Linked DNA regions of Anolis sagrei. The protein of the gene in region 3 interacts with the protein of the main gene of each other region in a pairwise test. Links are inferred from orthologs where the notes say so. Each region holds a gene or a part of one and is shown on either strand. Other genes may lie near its edges.

Region 1 (6,840 bases), on a different chromosome or scaffold from region 3:
GTATTTATTGAAAATAAAAAAATAATGATAAAGAAAAAGCAAAGTCTTCAGGAAGAAAGACTAGAGCCATTCTTGACACACACCAGCTGCTAAACCCGACTCCAATTAGTCACCAGAATATTTGAAACAAATGTTGCCCCAACGAAAGAGAGGGGGATATAAAACAAAGTAAATAATAAAGAAATAAACAAAGCCATGAGTGCGGAGTGATTAATACCAGCCCTCTGCCCCCAAAAAAACAATTTTTGAAATTGTGAAATGGCCTCTTCTTTCAAAATTTGTGTCAACAGCCTATTGCTGGTCTGTTATTAATTTTCGGTTTTCAAAATGTTGCTTTGTTCCGCAGCGACACCCATCAGCATGATGCCTGTTACTTTCCCCCTAAATCTCTCCTATACAAGACCCTAAATGGCGTATCTTTCTCATCCTTACAACCCTCTATGCTTTTTCAAACTGTCCATACAAACATTAGAAGGAACTTCCTGATGGTAAGAGGTGTTTGACGGTGGAATATACTGCCTGAGACTGTAAGGGAATCTCCTTCTCTTGAGATTTTTAAGACGAGGCTGGATGGATATCTGGCTTGGTCTGGATGGGGTTGGACTGGATGCCCCTTGGGGTCTCTCCCAACTCTACGATTCTATGATCCTAGAATTGTAGAGTTGGGAGAGACCCCAAGGGACATCCAGTCCAACCATCTGTCAGGAGGGCTTGAATTATGTCTCCGCATTGGGGGAGATCTCAAAGGATATCCAGTCCAACCATCTGCCCAGAGGGCTTGGATTAGGTCAGGATAGGGTTGGACTAGATGCCCCTTGGGGTCTCTCCCAACTCTACGATTCAATTATCCAAGTTAGGAGAGGTCCCAAGGAGCATCCAGTCCAACCATCTGTTGGGAGGGCTAGGATTATGTCTGGATGGGGTTGGACTGGATGCCCTTTGGGGTCTCTCCCAACTCTACAATTTTGGAATTGGGATCTCTCTCAACTGGATGCCCCAAGGGACATCCAGTCCTACTATCTGTTGGGAGAGTTAGGATTATGTCTGGCTGGGGTTGGACTGGATTCCCCTTTGGGTCTCTCACAACTCTACGGTTCTATAATCCAAGTAGGGAGAGGTCCCAAGGGGCATCCAATCCAACCATCTGTCGGGAGGGTTAGGATTATGTCTGGACGGGGTTGGACTGGATGCCCCTTGGGGTCTGTCCCAACTCTACGATTCTCGAATCGTAGAGATTCCAAAGGGCATCCAGTCCAACCAACCCCATCTGGACATAATAAAACCCCTCCCGACAGATGTCCATACAGCCTCTGCTTCAAATCCTGCTACCATCTGTCGGGAGGGCTAGGATTATGTCTGGATGGGGTTGGACTGGATGTCCCTTGAGTTCTCTCCCAACTCTACGATTCCATGATCCTCAAATCGTAGAGTTGTGAGAGATCCCAAGGGGCATCCAGTCCAAAAAACCAACCCCATCCCGACATAATAAAGCCCCTCCCGACAGATGTCCATTCAGCCTCTGCTTCAAACCCTGCTACCATCTGTCGGGAGGGCTAGGATTATGTCTGGATGGGGTTGGACTGGATGCCCCTAGAAGTCTCTCCCAACTCTACAATTCTATGATCCTCGAATCATAGAATTGGGAGAGATCCCAAGGGGCATCCAGTTCAACCAACCCCATCCGGACATAAACCAATCCCTCCCAACAGATATCCATCCATCCTCTACATCAAACCCCGTTCCCTTTTAGGCGTTTTTGTTTTAACTTTGGAGGATTGCGTAAACTTCTCACCTCCTTCATTTTCCTCATTCCTTCTTCCCTTTCCTTTGGGCGTATCCTTTTGCGTACAAACCTGTCCTTCCTCCCAAACTAGACCCCTCCTACTTCAGCCCTTTGGCCAATTTCTTTTTTTATGAGGAGTTTTTTTTGCGGGCATAGGGTAAAATGAAAACATATTCAGGATGGATATTTTGAAAAGGACGGAAAACAATAAGAGAAGCAACATTTGACAGTACATTCACACATACATAACATTATAATAACCACAATATATATATATGACTTTAAATTGCGTATTATACATATTTTTGTGGGTATAGAGGAGGGATGGGGCAACTTGGGCCCTCCAGATGTTTTGGACTCCAACTCCCACCATTCCTAACAGCCTCAGGCCCTTTCCTTTTCCCCCTCAGCCGCTTAAGGAAGGAAGGGGCCTGAGGCTGTTAGGAATGGTGGGAGTTGGGAGTCCAAAACACCTGGAGGGCCCAAGTTGCCCCATCCCTCCTATACACACACATATGCCTGTCTAGAAATAGTATATACATATAATCCAAGGAAATAATTTGTCCCTTTCTGCTCATCCACTCACTTTTGTAGACAATGCTTTTCTGAGGTAAACATAATCTTGTTTGGCTTTTCTGAGGTAAACAAAATCTAGTTTGGCTTTTCTGAGGTAAACATGATCTAGTTTGGCTTTTCTGAGGTAAACAAAATCTTGGTTTTTCTGAGGTAAACATGATCTTGTTTGGCTTTTCTGAGGTAAACATAATCTTGGTTTTTCTGAGGTAAACAAAATCTAGTTTGGCTTTTCTGAGGTAAACAAAATCTTGGTTTTTCTGAGATAAACATGATTTTGTTTGGCTTTTCTGAGGTAAACATCTTGGTTTTTCTGAGGTAAACATAATCTTGGTTTTTCTGAGGTAAACATTATCTTGTTTGGCTTTTCTGAGGTAAACATGATCTAGTTTGGCTTTTCTGAGGTAAACATGATCTAGTTTGAATTCTCTGAGGTAAACATGATCTTGCTCTCCCTTCTCTTGAAACCTGACCCCTTCCTAATGGTTCCTCCTGTTGGACTCCCAGCTTCCTGCTCTCCCCTTCCTCTCCTGGCCTCAGCCCCCTTTTTCCCCCGGACCGACTTCCGCTGCTTACCTTCAACGCCGCTCCCTCGGTCTCCTCTGTGGCGCTGTAACGACGAGAAAGGCTAAACCCCTTGCGCGCTCCACTCAGGCCCCATGCACTCGTCCGCGTGAGCCGGGCACGCCCCCCTCTCCCAGCTGTCCACCAATCGCCTCCGCCCGAGCCTCCCGCCACGCCCCCTCATTGGCCGCCCCTCCCCGCTCGTCTTGCTCAGCTCGGCTTGCGATTGGCCAGCCGGCGCCGCAACATGCAGGCTGCCGCGTGACAGCTTCGGCAAAACCAGCCCCGCCCCCTTCCGGATCCTATTGGGTCGTTCCGCAGCAGCATGCAGGAGTCCGCGTGCCGGCGGGCCACGCCCACTCCGGGCGCCCATTGGTTGTCTCCGCCACGCAGGCTTCCCATTGGCTGGCCTGCTTCGGAAAGGAGTACACGTGCCAAAAGGCCTCACGCGGCCGCTGCTGCTGTAAGTGTTTACAGTTTGGAGAGGCAAAAAGGGGGCGTGGCGGGAGAGGCGGGGGCGTGGCCTCCAGTTTGACGAAGTTTGGCGCCGAGGGGGCGGGGCCGATAATTTGGAAGAGGCGACGTGGGGGAGGGAAGGGTAGAAGGCTCTTTTCCTTCTACATTTGATATATATACACACACACACATATACACACACACACATATATATACACACATATGGAAAACACAAGAATGGCCATCAGACTGGAAAAAATCAACTTATATCCCCATACCAAAAAAGGGAAATGCGAAAGACTGCTCCAACTTCCGCACAGTGGCCCTTATTTCTCATGCCAGTAAGGTAATGCTCAAGATCCTGCAAGGAAGACTCCAGCAATACATGGAGCGAGAGTTGCCAGATGTTCAAGCTGGGTTTAGAAAAGGCAGAGGAACGAGAGACCAGATTGCCAATATCTGGATGCTGGATAATGGAGAAAGGCAGGGAGTTTCAGAAAAACATCTACTTCTGCTTCATTGACTACTCTAAAGCCTTTGACTGTGTGGATCATAATAAATTGTGGCAAGTTCTTAGTGGGATGGGCATCCCAAGCCACCTTGTCACTCTTCTGAGGAACCTGTACAAGGACCAAGGAGCCACAGTCAGAACTGACCACGGAACAGGAGACTGGTTCCAGATTGGGAAAGGCGTCCGGCAAGGCTGCATCCTCTCACCCAACCTTTTTAACTTGTATGCAGAACACATCATGCGAGGATGTGCGGGGCTTGATGAATGCAAAGCTGGGGTGAAAATTGCTGGAAGAAACATTAACAACCTCAGATATGCAGATGACACCACTCTGATGGCCGAAAGCGAGGAGGAGCTGAGGAGCCTTCTAATCAAGGTGAAAGAAGAAAGCGCAAAAGCTGGGTTGCAGCTAAACGTCAAAAAAACCAAGATTATGGCAACAAGAATGATTGACAACTGGAAAATAGAGGGAGAAAATGTGGAGGCCGTGACAGACTTTGTATTTCTAGGTGCAAAGATGAGTGCAGATGCAGACTGTGGCCAGGAAATCAGAAGACGCTTACTTCTTGGGAGGAGAGCAATGTCCAGTCTCGATAAAATAGTGAAGAGTAGAGACATCAGACTGGCAACAAAGATCCATTGCCTAGTCAAAGCAATGGTATTCCCTGTAGTCACCTACGGATGTGAGAGCCGGACCTTAGGGAAGGCTGAGCGAAGGAAGATTGATGCTTTTGAGCTGTGGTGTTGGAGGAAAGTGCTGAGAGTGCCTTGGACTGCGAGAAGATCCAACCAGTCCATCCTACAGGAAATAAAGCCCGACTGCTCACTGGAGGGAAAGATACTAGAGACAAAGTGGAAGTCCTTTGGCCACATCATGAGGAGAGAGCAAAGCCTAGAGAAGACAATGATGTTGGGGAAAGTGGAAGGCAAAAGGAAGAGGGGCCGACCAAGGGCAAGATGGATGGATGGCATCCTTGAAGTGACTGGACTGACCTTGAAGGAGCTGGGGGTGGTGACGGCCGACAGGGAGCTGTGGCGTGGGCTGGTCCATGAGGGCACGAAGAGTCAGAGACGACTGAACGAATGAACAACGACAACAAACACAGGTATGTGCAGGCCTGTAGCAATTTTCACCCCAGCCTTGCATTCATCCAGCCCCGCGCATCCTCGCACGATGTGTTCTGCATACAAGTTGAATAGTTTGGGTGAGAGGATGCAGCCTTGCCGTACGCCTTTCCCAATCTCGAACCCGTCTGTTGTTCCGTGGTCAGTTCTGACTGTTGCTTCTTGGTCCTTGTACAGATTCCTCAGGAGAGAGGGAAGGGGGCTTGGTATGCCCATCCCACCAAGAACTTGCCACAATTTATTATGATCCACACAGTCAAAGGCTTTAGAGTAGTCCATGAAGCAGAAGTAGATGTTTTTCTGAAACTCCCTGCCTTTCTCCATTCTCCAGCATCCGGATATTGTCAATCTGGTCTCTCGTTCCTCTGCCTTTTCTAAACCCAGCTTGAACATCTGGCAACTCTCGCTCCATGTATTGCTGGAGTCTTCCTTGCAGGATCTTGAGCATTACCTTACATACACATACCTGTGTTTATATCTATATAAATAAAAATGTAATGTTCGTTTGTGGGATTAACAAAACTCAAAAACCACTGGACAAATTGACACCAAATTTGGACACAAGACACCTAACAACGCAATGTATGTCCTTCACTCAAAAAAATTGATTTCGTCATTTGGGAGTTGTAGTTGCTGGGATTTATAGTTCACCTACAATCAAAGAGCATTCTGAACCCCACCAACGATGGAATTGAACCAATCTTGGCACACAGAACAGAGAATACTGGAAGGGTTTGGTGGACATTGACCTTGAGTTTTGGAGTTGTAGTTCACCTACATCCAGAGAGCACTGTGGACTCAAACAATGATGGATCTGGACCAAACTCTACACAAATACTCAATATGCCCAAATGTGAACAGGGGTGGAGTTTGGGGAAAATAGAATCTTGACATTTTGGAGTTGTAGTTGCTGGGATTTATAGTTCACCTACAATCACAGAGCATTCTGAACCCCACCGACAATAGAATTGGGCCAAACCTCCCACGCAGAACCCCCATGACCACCAGAGTGGGCCACAGCAGTGCGTGGCAGGGGATGGCTAGTATATACAGTAAGAACTGACCCTGGAACAACAGACTGGTCCATGACTGGGAAAGTCGTACGGCAGGGTTGTATACTCTCCCCCAACCTATTCCACTTGTATGCAGATATATTAAATATTTATTTATTTATTTATTTATTTATTTATTTATTTACTGCATTTGTAGACCGCCGTTCTCAGCCCTAGGGCGACTCACGGCGGTGTACAACATATAAAAACAAATTACAATATAAGCAATATCACAGACAACAATAACAACATCACAGTCAATAATACAATTACACTAAATCATTCGCGACGTCTAATCATAGAATCACAATCCGATCTCGTTATCCATGTTCCGTTCCAAACGTCATTGCCAATTGATGTAGCACTAGTCAAACGCCTTCTCACACAACCATGTCTTTCGCCTCTTGCGGAATGTTATCAGGGAGGGCGCCTGTCTGATGTCTACAGGGAGAGTGTTCCACAGCCGGGGGGCCACCACTGAGAAGGCCCTATCCCTCGTCCCCACCAGGCGTGCCTGTGAGGCAGGCGGGATCGAGAGAAGGGCCTCCCCAGACGATCTCAAAGTCCTCGTGGGCTCATAGGCCAAGATGCGGTCAGACAGGTATTTTGGGCCGGAACCGTTTAGGGCTTTGTAGGCCAACACCAGCACCTTGAATTGGGCCCGGTAGCAGATCGGCAGCCAGTGGAGCTGGGACAACAAGGGCGTTGTATGCTCCCTGCGTCCTGCTCCCGTTAGTAATATGGCTGCCGCGCGCTGGACTAGCTGGAGCTTCCAG
Region 2 (6,877 bases), on a different chromosome or scaffold from region 3:
AGGACAATGCTGGCTCTTCGGCTTAGAAATGGAGATGAGCACCACACCCCAGAGTCGGACACAACTGGAGTTAATGTCAAGGGAAAACCTTTACCCTACCTACCTAAAAATACATTTTTTTTAAACGGCAAAACAGCGAGTCCGCATAAGGCAAACTGCAAGACAGTGAGGGAACACTGTAATTCCACTGCACTGTCCTATTTTTTTAAATCCTGCTCCCAGAACCAGGTTTCGACTTTCCTCCTGAAGGCTAGGAGGGAGGGGGTTAATCTAATGTTGCTAGGGAGGGAGTTCCACAACCAAGGGGCCACCACTGAGAAGGCCCTATCTTTTGTCCATACCAATCGCACTTGCAAGGAAGGTGGGATCTAGAGCAGTGCCTCCCCAGATGATCATAAACTCTGAACTGGTTCATAGGGGAAGGTTCAGCCAGGTAGACCGGGCCGGAAATGTTTAGGGCTCTATAGGCTAAAGCCAGCGCTTTGAATTGTGCTCGGAAGCAGACTGGCAGCTAGTGGTTCCCTCTTGAAGTAAGACTCAAGCCTGTTCCAAAAATCAATGCTTCCTCTCATATGCCCAATAATCTTGGTTCACCCAGTAGTCAACCAAAAGAATAACTCATATCAAAATACCATCTCCACCTCATAAGCAGTCTCAGTAATGGATTTTCACCATGAAGTTATAATCATCAGCTAGAAAGAGGGATAGTGAAGCTGTATGAAAAGAGTGATAGGGTAATGGTCAAAATAAGGACAACTGTGGCAAGGCTTTTATAAAAGTGTGATATGCTTGATGGACACTCTTTCACTTGGAGGCAGAATAACACACACAAAAAGAATTCTTCAATTAAAACATCCAACTCATATTTATAAGCCACAGAGATAATTTTTGGAGTATACCAATATAGAATGAGTTCCCTTGCTCATAACCCTAAAGCAGATAAGAATGTATTTGGAAGTACACACGATACTTTGTTTACAATTGCTAGGAAGTTAAACAGGACTTAGTTCCCAGTAAACAGGTTTCATTCCCTTTGAGAGCTGGAGAGCTGAGCCTGTTTATTCAATGTTGTCTCTTTCAAAGCTTAATATCAGTTATGTGAGTTTTATTATTTTTTGTCTCTCTGAGCATCTTCCTAGTTTTCTATAAGTTTGTTTCAAAATGAATTCAAAATATGTATTCCACTGTCTATGCTGAAGTTTAAAAGCAAAAAGGTCAGCCAAGTGTGGCATTAGTAGATGCCGAACGGCCAGGAACATTGTTTCCAAAATAATAATTAAAACGAAAAGCCAACTATGGAGTTAGAATGCGAACTCCATCCTCCATCCTGTAGCATGCTGGGCAGGAATGTCTTCCAAATCAAAAAGAAAGAAACCCTACAGAACTGGCATTGGAATCATGTGGCTTTTTATTATTATTTATTAACTTTATTTGTACCCCGCTAGCAACTCCCGAAGGACTCAATGCAGCTTACAAAGGCCAAGGCCTCAAAACACAACATAACAGTACACAACCTAAAGAGACCATACTCTACAGTGTGTCCTTGGATGATGTTTGGTCCCAGGCCCTCCATACATACAAAAATCTATGGACGCTCAAGTCCCATTATATACAATGGAGTAGTAAAACCAGTTCTCTTTGCATAAAATGGCAAAATTAATGCTTTTAGACGTCTTTTCAAGCTGCGGATAGTTTAATCTATGGGTGCTGTATCCGTAGATAAGGAGGGCCTGTTATAAACAAACTGAGCTCCCTCAAGGAAGGGAAACTATGGTAATGTCCATTTCCTTATCTCTCCTCAGCCACCCAGGACAAGCTCTTTCTTTGATACTTTCCCTGTAACAAATAACATGTCAGGAAATACAGACATGCGCCCCTTGGGAGTTGTAGTTTGGTGAGGCACCAGCACTCCTGAGCAAAGCATGCTAATAGACTTTGTAAAACTGCAGCTGTCTTGATTCTATAGCAGGCATGAGCAAACTTGGGCCGACCATGTGTTTTGGACTTCAACTCCCACCATTCCTTACAGCTTAAGCGGCTGAGGGGGAAAAGAAAAGGGCCCAAGGATGTAAGGAATGGTGGGAGCTGAAGTCCAAAACACCCCATGCATGAGCTATCTTGACTTACTAATTTGCATATGGTTTCTGATTGGTCCGCCTCAACATTCCAACATTCTTAAGTGGCTGAGAGGAAAAAGGAAGAGGCCTGAGGCTGTTAGGTATGGTGGGAGTTGGAGTCCAAAACACCTCGAGGGACGAAGGCTGCCCATGCCTGTTCTACAGCATTGAACCATACTACCAAACTGTGTCAATTCTACAATGTAGACGTACCCTTAGAAATACAGTAGAATGTGGTGCATTTACACAGTAGAATGAATGCATCCTGGCACCCCTTTAACTGTCATTGCACAATGTGATGGCTACCTGGGAGTTGTAGCTTTACGAGGTCTTGAGCAAGCTACCCCCCCCCCCCCCGGATTGCACAGCAGCTAAAGCGGTGTCGAAGTGCGTTAAGGAGACGCTGAGCGGCCTCTTACAAGCCGGACGCGTGTATTTTGTGCCGTGAGGACCCTCGCCCACCCTTTTTGGGCATATTACGCAGAAGCAGAGCCAACCGCATTGACAGACACACACACAGAATAGCTATTCCCCCCGGGCTTCCTCCGAAGGGGAACCGCTCCAACCGCTCCTTCCCCTCAGCTGCAGCCAAAGGGATCCCCTTCGCCTCGGCTTCAGCACAGCAGGGATTCCCCCGTGGCCTCCCCTCCCCACCTTGGGCCGCCCGTTTCCTCACCGTGTTTCGAAGGGCGCGGGGGTCACGGCTGGGCGCCCCCTCTCTCTCTCTCTCTCCCTCCCTCCTCCTTCCTTCCTTCCTGCCTTGCCTCCTCTTGCGCCGCGTAGCGAAAGGAGTGGCGCCCGGCGCAAGCAGCAACAGCAGCAGCCCCTGTACCTGACCTACTTTCCGCCTGGCTTGCCGCTGAACGTCGCACCACTAACCTACTTTCCAACCAATGGCTTCTCCCCCCGCACCGAGCCCCCGACCAATCGCGGGGCACAACCCTCCAGAGCCAATCGTCGCCCAAAGAGCGGCCCCTTCGGCCCGCCTTCCGACCCGGGCGGCCAATCGCCATCGCCGCCCGGCGAGTGAAGGCGTCGGAATGGCGAGAACGCGCTTGTGGTTCCCGCCTGCTTTAGAAGACAGGAGGAAGGGAGGGAGGAGGGTTGTGGGGAGAGGCGCGCGCGCACTTCTCTCTCGCGCTGCCTCCCTGCCAGCCTCGGGTGGCTCCAGCGGCGAACGGTTGCGTAAGGGACTGTTTGGGACGGGCGGGACCCGGATGTAGGGCTGCCGAGGCGCGGCCCAGCTTCCCCTGCGCGCGCTGCTGTCGTCACAGGGAGGCCGCCCGGGGACTCCAACGCCGCGCGCCTCAGATCCCTTCGAGTCTCCGAGGGGGCCTCGCTCCTCCTCCTTCCCGGTGGCGCCTGAGAAACGTTTCAGGATGGCAGGGAGCACCCCTTCCCCCCTTCCCACCACACAGACCTGTAACATTGAGAATTACACCCACCTTACTATTTTGTTTTCTCGTTTTATCAAAATGTTCTATTCCGTAACGAAAAATTGCCTCAGGTCTTCACCATCAGGTACAGGTTGAGTATCAGAAGTGCTTAGGACCAAAATGTCCAGTATTTGGGATTTTTTTAAATCATATTTTGGAATATTTGCATGTATCAATTTTTTTGTCGTGTCAGAAGCGACTTGAGACACTGCAAGTCGCTTCTGGTGTGAGAGAATTGGTTGTCTGCAAGGACGTTGCCCAGGGGATGTCCGGATGTTTTGATGCCCCCATTGGCGCAGTGGGTTAAACCCCTGTGCTGGCAGGACTGAAGACCGACAGGTCACAGGTTCAAATCCGGGGAGAGGCGGATGAGCTCCCTCTATCAGCTCCAGTTCCCCATGCGGGGACATGAGAGAAGCCTCCCACAAGCAGGGGCGGCTCAACCCATTATGCAAAGTAAGCATTTGGAGTATAGTTGATTTTGCCCAGGGGCACTCTTGAGGTGCTCTTAGGGAAAAATAGATCTTGACATATGTGAGTTGTAGTTTCTGGGATGTATAGTTCACCTACAATCAAAGAGCATTCTGAACTCCACCAATGATGGAATTGAACCAAATATGGCACACAGAACTCCCACGACGAACAGAAAATATATATCAGTGATTGGTTGGGGGGAGGGGGCACCAAAATACTGTTTGCTTACCATTGAAAATTACCTCGGGCTGCCTCTGCCCACAAGGATGTATCAAATGAGTTATCCTGAAGGTAGAACCCCACAGTCTCAACAGGGAACTTGCATGTATTTCATACACAACTTTGATACAAAGTTTGCACAATATCTTTTAATACTTCTGTGTTGTTGTTTATTTGTTTAGTTGCTTGTGACTTTTCGTGACCTGGACCAGCCCACGCCAGAGCTCCCAGTTGGCCATCACCATCCCCAGCTATCACCAGCCCCAGCTCCCTCAAAGTCAAGCCAGTCACATCAAGGATGCCATCCAGCCATCTTGCCCCTCTCCCTTTTTCCTTCCACTTTTTCCAGCATCATTGTCTTCTCTAAGCTTTCCTGTCTTGTCATTATGTGGCCAAAGTACTTCATCTTGGCCTCTAATATCCTTCCCTCCAGTGAGCAGCCAGGCTTTATTTCCTGGAGTATGGCCTGGTTTGATCTTCTTGTAGTCCAAGGCACTCTCCAAATTTTCCTCCAACACCACAGTTCAAAAGCATCTAACTTCCTTCGCTCAGTCTTCCTTATGGTCCAGCTCTCACATCTATAGGTTGCTACAGGGAATACCATGGCTTTGACTAGGCGGATCTTTGTTGCAAGTGTGATGTCTCTACTCTTCACTATTTTATCGAGATTGGTCATTGCTCTCCTCCCAAGAAGTAAACGTCTTCTGATTTCCTGGCTGCAGTCTGCATCTGCAGTAATCTTTGCACCTAGAAATACAAAGTCCGTTACTGCCTCTATTTTTCCAATTCTCAATCAGTTTGGTTGCCATAATCTTGTTTTTTTATGTTTAACTGCAGCCCAGCTTTTACAATTTCTTCTTTCACCTTGGTTATGAGGCTCCTCAACTCCTCCTTGCTTTTGACCATCAAAGTGATATCATCTGCATATCTAAGCTTGTTAACATTTCTTCAGCAATTTTAAATCCAGCCTTGGATTCATCAAGCCCCTCACATTGCACAATGTGTTCTGCATACAAATTGAATAGGTAGGGTGAAAGTATGCAACCCTGCCGTACTCCTTTGAACCACTGGAAAGCAAAGGTGTCAGTATCTCAGCCATTTCTTTGGATATTTCCGGATAAGAGATATTCAGCCTGTACAGTTTTTTTCCACAATTTGCTTTGGTATTTCTATGCTTCAAAATGTGTGATTAAATGAAATTATATTAAAATTCCTAATAAAATTTGTGAAATAACTGTGTGTGGTATAAAAGAAATATTGAATTTGTTTGAATTCAGCACTTAAAAATCTTATTTACAACAGCTACAATATTGAAAACAGGTATTTATCATTGCACACCTATGAATTTGTTCTTTTGTCTCTATGGGCAAATGCTTCCTGGATTATGAGGCTGCCTTTGCAATTGAATCTTATTTTCTTCCAGGCTTTCTGCGATTCCAAGTGTGGTAGGGCTGTGATGGGAAATTGCAATATGTCGGTAGTCATTTGGGTGGCCTGCAGGAGCATAATTTTTATTATTCATTGAAGTAATGGAACTCGAGGCATGTTAAGAATTGGAGTAAGAAAATAGAGCATTGGTTCCCAACCTGTGGGCCGCGAGACCTAAAATAAGGTCTGCGAGATGTGGGGAAAATTGGCACCAGGGGTGCATTGGAGGAGAGAGGGAAGGAAGGAAGGAGCACCAGCGCGTTGCCCTCACCCTTACCAGTGCTTTCTCAGCCTAGGTTTCTCAGACCAGGATGGAGAAAACTCACCTGGCGATATGCGTGAGGGAGCGAGAGAGTGAAGGAGAGGGAGAGAGGAAAGAAGGCTGTTGCACTTGCCAGCACTTCCTCAGCCTTCAGAGGCTTCCCAGGCCAGGGCGGAGAAAACTCACCCAGTTACACGTGTGAGGGAGTAAGAGAAGTCCCCCAAAGTTGTTGTTGTTAGCTCCCATTGCCACATATCAGATGTAATGGGCAAGCAGCCCTTTGTAAGACCCTCTTTAGTCCCCCAGTTGTTATTAAAGCCATAAGGGACAGTTTCTTAGGTCTCACACTCTGCTTTTTGTATTTTTTTCAACTTCAGCCCCCTCTTTTTTAAAAAAAACAGGAATGTTAACAAAATCCACAGATAATAACACAGTCCAATTATTTTTCTTGGTGTCTTTGTTTTTAGGCCTGTTCCTGGGGTTATTTTGGGTGCTGATTCAGAAAATGCATTGGATAGACCACATCAGCTCGAGATTATTAAATATGGTTTTCTGTGGGCAAGCAGATGACAACTACTGGATATGTTTTGTATCAGAAACTAGAGCTGATGTGGTGTAGCCAATGCAGTTTTCTGAATCAGCACCCCAAACAAACCAAATCTAAAGTTGACCAAAAACTGATTCATAACCTTTTGATACTAATATGGAGAGTGGTCCCTGGTCAAAAAAAGGTTGGGAACCACTGAAGAGTAAGAAAATAAAGATTTCTGGCAATCTGGAAAGAACAGCATCAACAAATGGGCTACATCCTCCCCTCCCCCATCCCCGACCACTATATTATATTGTTGAAGAGAGTTTGGGGGTAATCTGGAATGGATTTGTATATGAAGATGAAATGTGAAGTCTGTTCTGGTACAATACAGTTCTGGTTGGTTTCGTGG
Region 3 (7,336 bases):
CAGAGCAGCCTTCCATAGCCTGCAGCTCTGCGCCTGTCAACCACCTCCACCAAGTCTGGCCTCCTTAATGAGAACATTCAACACACACATACCCAACTTGGTTGCTTCACTACATCGGCTATTGCTGCAAGTAATGACAGTGTGAATAAATTGTCAGTATTTGCCTGAGATAGTGCTTGCAGTTCTGGAGGGACTCTTAATTTTTTGCATCTCATAGACTTAGCATGGGGATTTGGTTAACCAGTTAAAATTCATGAGTAAACCAGTTTTTTTTAAAAAAATCTGAAACATTTCGGGAGGGGTTTGAACCCCTAACCCCCCCCCGCCCCTCGCTACAGGCCTGCTCAGTTGTATGGTGTGCTTATGTTTTGTTGTTGTACACTCCTTGACATGAGCAGCGGCATGAAAATATATTAAGATATCAAGATGAATGGTGCTCCATGTGATCATGCTGGCCACATGTCCTTGGAGGTGTGTACGGACAATGCCGGCTCTTCGGCTTAGAAATGGAGATGAGCACCACACCCCAGAGTCAGACATGACTGGACTTAATGTCAGGGGACTACCTTTACCTTTACAAAAGGTTTGCTAGGGTAGACCCTCTTTCACTCAGACTCACCCCCCCCCCCAATTGAAATCCTGGCTACGGGTCTGATCCTAGGACTGGGCCAGCTTAAGCAGCTGAGGGGGGGGGGGGGGAGGCCCAAGGCGGTTAGGAATGGTGGGAGTTGAAGTCCAAAACACCTGAAGGGAAGGCTCAAGCTGGCCCAGGCCTGTGATACACAATGCTGCTGTGTTGATGGGCTTAAGTGGCTGAGGGGGAAAAGAAAGGGCCCGAGGGGGTTAGGAATGGTGGGAGTTGAAGTCCAAAACAACTGGAGGGAAGGCCCAAGCTGGCCAAGGCCTGTGATACACAATACTGCTGTGTTGATGGGCTTTAAGTGGCTGAGGGGGGGAAGGAAAGGGACTGAGGCTGTTAGGAATGGTGGGAGTTGAAGTCCAAAACACCCGGAGGGCCCAAGTCCACCCATGCCTGGTGTGTTGTTGTTCTTCATTCGTTCAGTCGTCTCCGACTCTTCGTGACCTCATGGACCAGCCCACGCCAGAGCTCCCTGTCGGCCGTCACCACCCCCAGCTCCTTCAAGGTCAGTCCAGTCACTTCAAGGATGCCATCCATCCATCTTGCCCTTGGTCGGCCCCTCTTCCTTTTGCCTTCCACTTTCCCCAGCATAGTTGTCTTCTCTAGGCTTTGCTGTCTCCTCATGATGTGGCCAAAGTACTTCAACTTTGTCTCTAGTATCCTTCCCTCCAGTGAGCAGTCAGGCTTTATTTCCTGGAGGATGGACTGGTTGGATCTTCTCGCAGTCCAAGGCACGCTCAGAACTTTCCTCCAACACCACAGCTCAAAAGCATCGATCTTCCTTCGCTCAGCCTTCCCTAACGTCCAGCTCACACATCCGTAGGTTACTACAGGGAATACCATGGCTTTGACTAGGCGGATCTTTGTTGCCAGTCTGATGTCTCTGCTCTTTACTATTTTATCGAGACTGGACATTGCTCTCCTCCCAAGAAGTAAGCGTTTTCTGATTTCCTGGCCACAGTCTGCATCTGCAGTAATCTTTGCGCCTAGGAATACAAAGTCTAGGTTCTTGTGGGTTTTATCGGGCTATAGAGCCATGTTCTAGAGGCATTTCTCCTGACGTTTCGCCTGCATCTATGGCAAGCATCCTCAGAGGTAGTGAGGTCTGTTGGAATTAGGACAATGGGTTTATATATCTGTGGAATGGCTGGGGTGGGGCAAGGAGCTCTTCCCCGCTGCAGTTAGGTGTGAATGTTTCAGCTGATCACCTTCATTAGCATTTGAAGGCCTGGCTGTGCCTGGGAAAATGTTCTGTTGAGAGGTGTTAAGATGTGCCTGGTTGTTTCCTCTCTGCTGTTTTGCTGTTGTAATTTTAGAGGAAAGGGCCTGAGGCTGTGGTGGGAGTTGAAGTCCAAAACACCTGGAGGGAAGGCGCAAGCTAGCCAAGGCCTGTGATACACAATACTGCTGTACTGATGGGCTTAAGTGGCTGAGGGGGGAAAGGAAAGGGCCTGAGTCTGTTAGGAATGGTGGGAGTTGAAGTCCAAAGCATCTGGAGGGCCGAAGTCCACCCATGCCTGGTGTAGACCCAATATAATACAGCTTAACTGCGTCCAATGCGTCCTGCACTACCCACACCGACCTAACGACGACACCCAAACTATTTCGAGGGAAACAGCAGGCTACTTCCGAGTGTTACATAGTACCTGCAGCAGCGTTGTATAACCAGGCGGCGCCGCGCATGCGCACACTCCCGGGAGAAAAGGGAGATTTAGAAGCGGGGGGGGGGGGGCTTGCTTACATAAAGTAAAAAGATGAGGGAAGGGCTGCCACTCACCTCCAGCGGTTGATGCCGACGTTGGAAGAGCCGGCGAACCAGGGGTCGAGGATGTAGACGCAGCGGACGCTGTCGGCTCCTTGGATGACCTCCCTCAGGGCCGGGTTGTCATGGAGACGGAGCCCCTTGCGGAACCAGTGCACCGCGTTCACCCCCATCACTGACGAGAGGCAGCACAAGCAGGAGAAGAGAACGGTTACAGCCGAGGAGCGTGGCTCAAGTCGAAGCCAAGCTCATGCCGCCGCTGAGCGGGGAAGAAGAAGAAGAAGAGGGCCAAGAAGCGACGAGAAACCGCTTTAAGATCCCGTGGAAGCAGCGGCCGCGGCGGTGGAAGCAGCGGCGACGGTGTTGGGGGCGAAACGCATCCCTCTCGGATTGTTTTCCTTCCTCAGCGCCCCTCCTGGGTTTCCAAACTGCCGCCCCCTCCCTCTCCTCCTCCTCTTCCACTCTCTATTCCTAATTAATTCCCTCTAAATAGCCGTTTTTTTCCCCTCAGAGGAAAGAAGAATGAAGGGGAAATAACCCAACTTCCTTCCTCCCTTGCCGCCCGCCCTGTGACTCGAGGCAACTCGTCCCAACGACGGAAGCCGCCAAGCTCCGCCCTTCCTCGCCCCTGATTGGCCACCCCCGCACCACGTGACCGGGGGCGCCTCACGTTTCTGAAATGTGTTTTTCCTGCCTCGTGGAGGGAGAGGGATGGTTATGCAGGTCTTCTTATCTATGTAACTAATGAGATTGCCGTACAGGATGGTATAATACAATATAGTAATATATAATACCAATATTGTGCTATGCTAATAATAATACACTATATTATTTATACACTTTATTGTGTATAATAGGCAAATAATAATAATAATACACTTATGTATAATAGAAATGATACATAATAAAGTGTATAAATAATATATAATATAAAGTCTATTATTATTAGCCTATTATACATAATAAAGTGTATAAATAATATAAAGTCTATTGTTAATATTAGCATAGCACAATATTATATATAGTATATCATTTTATTATACATAAAGTGTATAAATAATATAAAGTGTATTATTATTAGCATAGCACAATATTATATTATACATAATAAAGTATATTAGTAATATAAAGTGTATTATTATTAGCCTATTATACATAATAAAGTGTATAAATAATATACAATGTATTATTAGCCTGTTATACATAATGTATAACATTATTGAGGGCCCCCGGTGGCGCAGTGGGTTAAAGCACTGAGCTGCTGAGCTTGTTGATCGAAAGGTCACAGGTTCGATTCCGGGGAGTGGCGTGAGCTTCCGCTGTCAGCCCTAGCTTCTGCCAACCTAGCAGTTCGAAAACATGCAAATGTGAGTAGATCAATAGGTATCGCTCCGGCGGGAAGGTAACGGCGCTCCATGCAGTCATGCCGGCCACATGACCTTGGAGGTGTCTACGGACAACGCTGGCTCTTCAGGCTTAGAAATGGAGATGAGCACCACACCCCAGAGTCAGACATGACTGGACTTAATGTCAGGGGACTACCTTTACCTTTATACATAATGTAGTGTATAAATAATATAAAGTGTATTATTATTATTAGCACGTGTGGACCATAATGACGGATCTTGCTAAAGATCGATGCTTTTGAGCTGTGGTGTTGGAGGAAAGTGCTGAGAGTGCCTTGGACTGCGAGAAGATCCAACCAGTCCATCCTCCAGGAAATAAAGCCCGGCTGCTCACTGGAGGGAAGGATACTAGAGACAAAGCTGAAGTACTTTGGCCACATCATGAGGAGACAGCAAAGCCTAGAGAAGACAATTATGCTGGGGAAAGTGGAAAGCAAAACGAAGAGGGGCCGACCAAGGGCAAGATGGATGGATGGCATCCTTGAAGTGACTGGACTGACCTTGAAGGAGCTGGGGGTGGTGACGGCCGACAGGGAGCTCTGGCGTGGGCTGGTCCATGAGGTCACGAAGAGTCGGAGACGACTGAACGAATGAACAACAACATTATTATTAGCATAGCACAATATTATATATAAATAGTGTATCATTCTTATTATACATAATAAAGTGTATAAGTAATATAAAGTGCATTACTATTATTATTTGCCTATTATACATAATAAAGTGTATAAATGATAAAATGTATTATTATTAGCATAGCACAATATTATATATAAATAGTCTTTATATTATTTATACACTTTATTATGTATCATTTCTATTATAATAAAAATGATACACTATTTATATATAATATTGTGCTATGCTAATAATACATTTTATATTATTTATACACTTTATTATTTATAACTGGCTAATAATAATATGCATTATATATTAGTTATACACTTTATTATGCATAATAAACATGATACACTATATATAATATTATGCTATGCTAATAATAATACACTTTATATTATTTATACACTTTATTATGTATAATTGGTTAATAATAATACACTTTATATTATTTATACACTTTATTATGCATAACAAAATGATATACTATTTATATATAATATTGTGCTATGCTAATAATAATACACTTTATATTATGTATACACTATTATGTATAATAAAAATGATATACTATATATATAATATTGTGCTATGCTAATAATAATACACTTTATATTATTTATACACTTTATTATGTATAATAGGGTAATAATAATACACTTTATATTATTTATACACTTTATTATGTATAATAAAAATGATACACTATTTATATATAATATGCTATGCTAATAATAATACACTTTATATTATTTATACACTTTATTATGTATAATAGGCTTATAATAATAATACACTTTATATTACTAATATACTTTATTATGTATAATAAAAATGATACGCTATTTATATATAATATTGTGCTATGCTAATAATACATTTATATTACTTATGCACTTTATTATGTCTAATTGGCTAATAATAATAATAATAATATACACTATATATTATTTATACACTTTATTATGCATAATAAAATGATACACTATATATAATATTGTGCTATGCTAATAATAATACAGTTTATATTATTTATACACTTTATTATGTATAATAGGCAAATAATAATACACTTTATATTACTTATACACTATTATGTATAATAAAAATGATACACTATTTATATATAATATTATGCTATGCTGATAATAATACACTTTATTTATAATATATTGTATTTACATCTAATATTGATAATAATATAATGTAATACAAAATATTTATTTATTTATAGAATTTTTTCAGCCCAAAGGCAACTCAGGGCGGCATACAGATTGGCAACAATTAGATGCCATAAACATACATACATACATATCAATTAAAAACATCTAATATCACATAATAAAAATCCATATAAAAATCAATTAAAACTATAATAATTAATGTGTACCAGTTCAACTCCTTAGCCATTTGCATTGTCTAATAATAATAATAATAATAATAATAAAGCCTGAAAAAGTTACAGGTGTATATATGTGTGTGTATATATATTTGTGTGTGTATATGTGTACATGCATATTGTGTACATGTGTGTGCTTGTCTATATGCATATTTGTGTGTATATATGTATGTGGATATGTATGTGTATGCATGTGTATATGTATATATGTATGTGTGCATGTATATGTGCATGTGTATATGTATATCTATGTTTGTATGAATGTGTGCATGTGCATGAGTGTATGTGTATATGTATATAGGGTGTATTTGGGGGTATTTAAGTCTGTTCCACTGGGGTTTTGTGTGTGTGTGTTTATGGGTCATGGACACTCGTTGGACTATTAGGTGTCTTGTGTCCAAATTTCGTGTCAATTCGTCCAGTGGTTTTTGAGTTATGTTAATCCCACAAACAAACATTACATGTTGATTTATATAAGACTAGCCGTCTCCTGCCATGCCTTGCTGTGGCCCACTCTGGTGGTCATGGGGGTTCTGTGTGGGAGGTTTGGCCCAATTGGTGGTGTTCAGAATGCTCTTTGATTGTAGGTGAACTGTAAATCCCAGCAACTACAACTCCCAAATGTCAAGATTCTATTTCCCCCAAACTCCACCAGTGTTCACATTTGGGCATACTGAGTATTTGTGTAGAGTTTGGTCCAGGTCCATCATTGTTTGAGTCCACAGTGCTCTCTGGATGTAGGTGAACTACAACTCCAAAACCAAAGGACACTGCCCACCAAACCCTTCCAGTATTTTCTGTTGGTCATGGGAGAACTGTATGCCAAGTTTGGTTCAGTTCCATCGTTGGTGGGGTTCAGAATGCTCTTTGATTGTAGGTGAACTATAAATCCCAGAAACAACAAAATCATTTTTTTTTGAGTGAAGGAGATACATTGGATTGTAAGGTGTCTTGTGTCCAAATTTGATGTCAATTCGTCCAGTGGTTTTTGAGTTCTATAGATAGATAGATAGATTAGATAGATAGATTAGATAGATAGATTAGATAGATAGATTAGATAGATAAGACAGATAGATTAGATAGATAGATAGATTAGATAGATAGATTAGATAGATAGATTGACTGACTGATAGATTAGATAGATAGATAGATTAGATAGATAGATTAAATAGATTAGATAGATAGATTAGATAGATAGATTAGATAGATAGATAGATAGATAGATATCCCCCTTTTTCTCTCCATAAGCATGAAACCATAAGGGGGGGGACGACATAAATAACAAGATTCCAGAGAAGGCGGGGTATGTTGAAGCCACGCCCCTTCTGCGCGGAGAAGTACCCGGATAAGCACGGGGCTTCCATGGAAAGGTTTTTTTTTCCCCCCTCCAAGTTTTGAAAGCCAATAGGAAACGGGCTGACGAGCGCGCGCGCGAGAGCGAGAGAGAGACGCGAAGTTGGACAGCGCGAGTGAGCGCAGACGGAAAGAATGTGCCCTGGCTCAAGAGG

The links.
Region 1: the proteins of CRY1 (region 3) and PER1 interact in binary tests that used the Homo sapiens proteins (3 or more experiments, as listed by UniProt). The link is inferred for Anolis sagrei from reciprocal best matches to the Homo sapiens genes CRY1 and PER1.
Region 2: the proteins of CRY1 (region 3) and BMAL1 interact in a two-hybrid assay, tested with the Homo sapiens proteins (3 studies listed by BioGRID, with this or other methods). The link is inferred for Anolis sagrei from reciprocal best matches to the Homo sapiens genes CRY1 and BMAL1.

The regions. Positions count from the first base shown.
Region 1 is NC_090026.1:7,344,846-7,351,685, reverse strand, and holds the start of PER1 (period circadian protein homolog 1), read right to left. Parts: upstream 3,004-6,840; 5' UTR 2,933-3,003; intron 1-2,932. UniProt on the Homo sapiens protein: Transcriptional repressor which forms a core component of the circadian clock.
Region 2 is NC_090021.1:254,885,060-254,891,936, reverse strand, and holds the start of BMAL1 (basic helix-loop-helix ARNT-like protein 1), read right to left. Parts: upstream 3,004-6,877; 5' UTR 2,794-3,003; intron 1-2,793. UniProt on the Homo sapiens protein: Transcriptional activator which forms a core component of the circadian clock.
Region 3 is NC_090025.1:169,420,677-169,428,012, forward strand, and holds the start of CRY1 (cryptochrome-1), read right to left. Parts: upstream 3,007-7,336; 5' UTR 2,576-3,006; coding exon 2,418-2,575; intron 1-2,417.